Linked DNA regions of Caenorhabditis elegans. The protein of the gene in region 2 purifies or fractionates together with the protein of the main gene of each other region. This does not show direct contact. Each region holds a gene or a part of one and is shown on either strand. Other genes may lie near its edges.

What was found. The genes of interacting proteins can lie anywhere in the genome.
Region 1: the proteins of F19B10.2 (region 2) and F35G12.7 fractionate together in Caenorhabditis elegans (co-fractionation; one large-scale study listed by BioGRID). This does not show direct contact.

What each region holds. Positions count from the first base shown.
Region 1 is NC_003281.10:4,585,954-4,589,257, reverse strand, and holds F35G12.7 (Divalent-cation tolerance protein CutA), read left to right. Parts: upstream 1-1,927; 5' UTR 1,928-2,022; coding exon 2,023-2,099; intron 2,100-2,143; coding exon 2,144-2,203; intron 2,204-2,251; coding exon 2,252-2,339; intron 2,340-2,383; coding exon 2,384-2,506; 3' UTR 2,507-2,720; downstream 2,721-3,304. Other genes in the region: smc-4 (Structural maintenance of chromosomes protein 4), read right to left, coding at 1-522, 569-861, 903-1,076, 1,125-1,439, 1,484-1,549, 1,603-1,752; F35G12.5 (SPK domain-containing protein), read right to left, coding at 2,784-2,906, 2,954-3,049, 3,095-3,217, 3,268-3,304.
Region 2 is NC_003280.10:3,673,370-3,677,125, forward strand, and holds F19B10.2 (HOOK domain-containing protein), read left to right. Parts: upstream 1-2,106; 5' UTR 2,107-2,341; coding exon 2,342-2,453; intron 2,454-2,504; coding exon 2,505-2,762; intron 2,763-2,986; coding exon 2,987-3,219; 3' UTR 3,220-3,370; downstream 3,371-3,756. Other genes in the region: sea-1 (T-box transcription factor 18), read right to left, coding at 1-69, 119-221.

The sequences.
Region 1 (3,304 bases), on a different chromosome or scaffold from region 2:
ATCCTTGCTTCACCTCGAACTTTGTTAAATTCGTTGCTCTTCTGCGCCCAAGTCTCTTGAATCTTCTTTTGTTCTTCTTTTGGCGCTTCAGAGCGTTTTTCAAATTCATCAAGATTCTTGTCGGCTTCCTCGTTAGCTGTTTTCTCTATTTCAAGCAACTGTTCCACTTCTTCCTGACATTTTGCGATTTTTCTCTCCGCCTTTTCGGGTGCTGCTTCCAGATTTGATCGCTTTTTAACCTCTTTTTCCTTCTCAGCTTCCGCCTTTGAAATATTAGCTTGATGCCTTTTCAAAGCCTCCTTCCTGCGAGTCTCTTCAGTGCCCAAGTCGCTCAATTCCTTAGATAGACTATCAAAGTTTTTGTCGAGTTTCGAACGCTCTTCAATCATAACTTTCTGAGCTTCCTCAGATTGTTTGTATTCGTTTTTGTTGGTATCCAGCGTTTCAGCAATCGATTTCATTTCTTCTTTCATCTTGTCAAGTTCGGCTTGTTTTGGAGCAATTTTATCTAGGTATCGTTGCCTTAAAACGTTAAATGTTATTTTAACCTGGAATATTTCAGAACTACCGTCTTCTTTGCTCCAATTTCATATGAATCGTTGTAGCCTCGTTTTCTTTCATCAGAAACTCAATTGCAGCTCTAACTGGATTCTCCATAGCTACTTTGCTGTTTCTGGCGTGATCACGAGCGATTCTTTGTTGAGAAAGATCACAAGTAAGACGATTGACGCGTCGCTGGAATAATTTAACAAAGGGCTCGAGTCGGTTTGTTCCGATAATATCCTCCAAATATTCAACCATTCCAGTTTCACTTTTGGTGGTTTTCACTGGTTTCATCATTGCAATTTGTTCGACTTCTCCCTGAAAAAAATGTTTATTACCGGTTTTATTGTCACTTTTACCTGAAGAATTAGAAAACGATTATGCTCAATATCAATGTCAACGCGTCGTAGGCGTGCTTCAACTTCATTCTTCGTTGCCGGTCGACCATCGATAGCATATGAGCTTGAGTTATTTTGAAAAGCAGTTCTAGAGATTGTGAACTCAGAATCCTTGACGACTTCGTAATGCCCAGGCTGAAAAAAAGCAAATTTATATTTTATTAGATTCTCTGATTCACTTACAATATCGACGATCCGCTGAAAATGAATAGTGACTGTGCATTTGTCTGGATTTCTTCCAGCACTTTTGTGAATCAAATTTGACACTTTTGCAGAACGAATTTTGGAAGCACGGAAACCGAAAACGAATAAGAGCGAATCGATTAAATTAGACTTTCCAGATCCATTTGGACCGATAATTGATGTGAAACTTTTGTGAAATGGTCCAATGGAAGCCTTGCCGAAGTAACTCTTGAAATTGTCCACTTCAACATTGCGAATCATCAAACGATCCGCCCGATTCGGTTTTGTAAGGAAATCGGGTCGCGATGGCAGTTGCTGTAAAATGTAATGACTTTAATATTAAAAACAGAGTAACATACCAATGAGAAAAGATCACTGTCGTCGTCCTCTCCGTCGCTTCCATCAAATTTTTCATTTACCGCTCTCTGAATAAAAATTTCAGTTTTATTGCTGCTTTTAAATATTCTGAGAGGGATACCTGTAGTTCTTCTTCCGGGTCCTTTGATCCTTCCTTGTGTCGGTTCACAGGCTTCGTTGTCTTTTTCTGCGGCTTTTTAACAGGAGCGTCATCAAAATCAGAATCAGATTCGTCTGATTGTGGCGGCGCCGCCGAAGTCTTCGGAGGCATCAACCCTAAAATACGTTGATTTTTAGGATTTGAGTGCTTAATATGAAAAAGACATTTCCCAACAAAAACAAAAAGTGGGACAGCAGCGGCTAAACAATTATTGGCGGTGAAATTCGAACAAAATTTTGGCGCGCATACAAGTGTGTGCAAACACCGTGACGCGCAAGTGCGACCCATACATTTAATTATACGACGAGAGCTAGAATGAAGTACGGTAATTAATTAAACATTTCTGAATTGCTTCAACATAAAATAAGTTTTCAAATAAAAATGACAACACCCGCTGTAAAAATGGTTGTCGCGTATGTGACAGCTCCGAGTAAGGAAGTTGCAATGACTGTGGCAAGGTATTTTTTTGTTTTCTGTCTACCAAAACATAATTTCATTTCAGAACAACTGTCACTGAAGCATTAGCCGCTTGCGCCAATGTTATTCCGGAAGTCACATCTGTGTAAGTATTTTATCTTTTTTAAATCTGTGCGAGAATCCAGATATTCAGATACAAATGGCAAGGAAAAATTGAAGAAGATCAAGAGCATGTCGTGATCTTGAAAACTGTAGAAAGCAAAGTCGAAGAGCTATCAGCTGTATGTTTTTATTTCGGATCACTAAGATTTTCATTCAATTTCAGCGTGTTCGATCTCTTCATCCGGCTGAAACTCCGTGCTTCTTCACACTGGCCATTGACAAAATAACTCCCGATTTTGGAGGATGGATTGTGGATTCTACGAATTCTTCAACTGCGAAACATTGAAACTTAAAACTTTATTCATATTTATTTCTACCAACTAAACATTAAATCAACGGGAACTGATAAATACATACAAACAGATTTGGCTAAGGAAAAAAACATCGTAATAAGAAAAAATGCTCCGAAAATTTGAAGATTCCAAAATAACGATTTGAGCATGCTTTTTTGGGGATTGTCTTGAAAGCTTCAAATTTTTTTTTCGAGCGATTCTGATGTGATTTAATGAATTTTTTTCAAAGAGATCGAGTTGAACGGGAAAGACAGGGCTATCATTAACTAGCTAGCGAGCATCACTTCGAACTCCAACAGCTTTGTCTACAATGTTAAGCGAGAAGACCATCGGGACAGCAATCTTGTATGCATGGCGTTTGTATGTATGATAATCATATTCCGTCCAAAATAACTGAAAAACATTGAAATGTTTTCTCATATATGTTCAATCATTCTTACTTTTTGCTCCTGAATAATTATCTCAAAGATCCTATCCATGCTTTTCTTTTCGTTATTGTATTGTGTCTCCCATCCCGGAAAGTCTTCACACATGAACTGAAAATTCGAAGTTGAAAAGAAATCCACTAAAAAAACTCTCACTTTGTGGATGCTGTATGTAGATTCTGAAGCGGACTTTGAACTAACATATTGATAGATCATAGAAAACTCACAGTCTCCAATTTCATGGAAACCGAGAAATTTAATTACTTGGTTGACCTTCACCTTAAAAATATTGATTTACTTTCTTGACCAATCAAAATATAATAGCTTACTCTGTTCATATTCTCAGAATCCGAGGGCATTATCAAG
Region 2 (3,756 bases):
GGAGCTCTGATGACACTGCTGGAAGTGATGGAGGCGAGGAAGAGGACGGCCGGGAGGTGGATTGCATCGCTGAAAGAGAAATTGAAATCAGCAAAAGTTACTTAGAGGATGAACATACCTGATTGTAAGGTGATAAAGTAATTGCAGAGAACTTTATGATATTCTTCTGCACTTTGTGGGTATTTTTGGTTATTATTGTTGATGTTGATGATGGTGTCCATTCTCTGAAAATTCACAAATTTAAAGATATCAAGAAATAATTAGAAGAAAAAATGTAAAAAATTGCAGAAGAAATAATCGAATAACGTTGCAAAATGACAGAATGACAGTTCTAGACAAATGAATGGCTAATGGTGGACGCTGTGAGAGATGACTGACCTCTACGTATGGGAAGATGTATTTGAGCTGATTTATGGTGGGGGTGCATCTTCACTTGATTCGTATCGATCGAGAAAACAAGGGGTTGTAAACCAAAAGGTGAAAATGGAGCAGGTGAGGAAAGTGGAGACATCGATTTTTTTTGAAAATAGTTTCTCAGATCTTAACTCTTTTGAAAAATATGTAACACGAATAGTTTGTCAGTTATTAATTTTTGAAAAAAAATCAAAAACCGCCGAGACTTGAGCTCTTGAATTTGAGCATCTAGGAGACGCACTGAAAAACTATCGAACGTTGCCAATACTTGGTAAAAAGTACTAAACTTAGGTTAAACGTTGCCGAAAATTGGAGAAAATACGCTAAAATTGTCTGGAAAACTGCCAACGTAGGCTGCAAAGTTACTAGGGTAAATTTTAGCTAGTGGGAAAAATGAAAGTCATAGGAAATTCCTATTAGGTACATTAGGTATTAGGTATTAGGCCTAATTATCTGGAACAAATATCTTTTTTTTCGGCATTTTCTCAACTTTGTCGGAGCACTGCTCCGGGAGTATGCATGACACGTATTTTTAAATATGCTAGAATTGTAGGCAATTGTCGATTTCATATTCTGATAAAGTTTAAAAGAAAAAATATAAAGGAATTTCTAGCTAGGTCGCTTTAACTGGAACAAATCTCCTATTTTTAGGCCTAAACTCGACTTTGTCGACGCACAGCACCGCAAATATAAATACCACGTGTTTTTGAATATACTAGAATTGTAGCGAATCGTCGATTTAGTATACTGAAAAAGTTTAAAGGAATTTCCAGCCAGCTCAGTTTTGCCGAAATTGTAACCATATTTTTAGGTGCTTTTTCTCGAAAACGAAGTCGGCAAGAGGGTATAAAATATATTAGAATTGTAGATCTCAATTCGATTAGTGTATTCGTGAAGTTTAAGAAAAAAAAATTTAACGAAATTTTGAGATATTTAGGTCGAAAGATTGTCATTTTATCAATATTTCATCGTTGTTTTTCTAAAACAGAGCAAAACTATTTTAAATTCTATTTTTACAAATTCGCAGGAATGACACTCAATTTGCTTACTTCCAAAAAAATATTCTAAAAAAACTGAATCAAAGCTAAAAAAGAGCTGAAACAAAACATAGGCACACAGAAAGAAGTTTCAAAATTCAAGCCTCTCGCGTGAGAATAAATTAAATTTTGGAACATCTTTTTTTGAATTTTTGTTAAAAATTCCACACCGTGTAGGTATATGCAAATAGTACTAAATAATTCTGCAATTTTACTCAACAAAAACCTTATTGAAATTCAAATTGAAAATTATAAAATAATACGTTTTTAACATTTTGACACAATTTTAGACATTATAAATAGACAAAAAAATTTCAGAAACGAAAAAAAAACATAACCAAGTAAAAACGTATTAGTGACCACAGAGAACCACAAATAAGATGCAATGTGTCCATAAAATTGGGAGGAATACTATTGACCTGTGCAAATGGGAGGACCCTGTATACGTGACGATGACGGGTCGCCTGTGTGGAGATGCAGGTGTTGTGGTTCCAAATATGATATTGATTTATTTTCATTCAAATCTCTTTATTCTTTTATACAAATTTCCAAAAACAATTGGGCACAATGATAAGAAAAAGGGGATTTTGTGGAAAATTGAATTTAAAAAAAAACGTGTTTTTTTCAATTTTAAATATCACATTTCTGTTTTATTTTTCCAACTCCGTGCAAATTCATATTCACGTCTAGTCCGGGCGAGACCCGCAGCCTTTTTGACCACACGCCTGCAGCGGCAAAAGATAAAGGCGGAGCCGATCTACAGGCGTCTCTTTTTCTCTGCACTCTCTCTCCCTCTCTACATCACTCTCAGTGCATCAATTTTCTAATATACAACTATTCTCCATCCGTCACCCATCTGCCGTTTAGTCATCTGAAGAACTTCCCAAAAAATGGTCGGTACGCAGCAGAAGACTCGCCAGCAACTGGAATCGACGATCGAAGAGCAAGAGGAAACTATCAAGGAGCTCCAACTGATGTTGGGACAGGCCGAATATGAGCATTGTGAGTTGGAAATAATTTATTTCAAGGTCTGACCATTTCAATAATTTCCAGTGAAGAAAGTCACCGAACTGGCAAAAATGACCAAAAACCGAGACTACATGACCGAATGCGAGGCAACTTCTCACGCTGTGAACGTGAAGCTCGAGAGGGAGAACAAGAAGCTGAAGGATGAGCTGGCGCGCAAGGATGCGGAGATTATGATGCAGAAGGAGAGCGGCGACGGTGGTGGTGGAAGTAGCGTGAGCGAAACTTGGAAGGATCACTTGAACGAGGCGAATCGGAAATATTTGGATGAAAGGAAGAAGGGAGGTAGGCTGGATGTTTCAATTCTTAAAGGATTACTCATTGGCTTAGGCTTAGGCTTAGGTGTAGGTGTACGTGTAGGCTAAGGCTTAGGCGTAGTCTTAGGCTCAGGCTAGGCAAGGCCGAGGCTTAGACTTAGTCTTAGGCTTAGGCTTAGGCCTATTTTCTCTCAGATTTAGGTTTAAGCTTAACTTTTCCATACCATCAAACCGAACTTCCAAATGTTCCAGAAGCTGCCCGTGTCACGTGGTCCACTCTAGTCCAGAAGCTGATGTCCGAAGCATGCCAACGCGAGACGAAGATGCTGGAAGCGAATGAGAAGTTGAAGGCAGAGTTGGCGGAGCTGCGGAATCAGATGTTCGAGCTGGAGGCCAACTCGGAGAACCTGAAGAGACCGGCGCTGAGCGATGGCTATCTGGCTAAAAAGTCGGCGAGGCTCTACTTGAGCAGTGTTGGTCTTTAGGGAAATTGTAACAATAATAATCACTTTATTTTTTGTGTTTTGCAATTCATCTTGTATTGTTTATGCTGGAAATATGATTTTTTTGTTCATTCTCATCTATGTTCTTCAAAACTATTCTTCAAAGAAATAAATGTTATTTTAGAGTAAAAAACCAGGAATGAGAATCGGAAAATCATGAAGATCAGGAAACAATTTCAGCAGAAGTCTTGTGCAAGCTCATGGAGCATGTGGCACATCTTATGAACGAAGGTTATGATTCTCCTTTTGATCGAGCTGATCATAGGCATCCATGAGTTGAAGTGAGAATTGTGGCGGCTTCAGGAGACTCTTTAGGATAGTTGCGGTGATTTGGATGCTTTGCTGGAAAATTGGAAATATTGTTATTATGTACTGAAACAAATGGTGATTAGGGTACCTTCGTCAAATTACCAATATGCTTCCGGAGTATGCAAAGAAAATGTAAAAGAATATTAAAGCTATTGAGGAGGTATGTTTTCAAAATTGAAAAGTTCGTGGACTTCCAAAAACCGTTTTTAT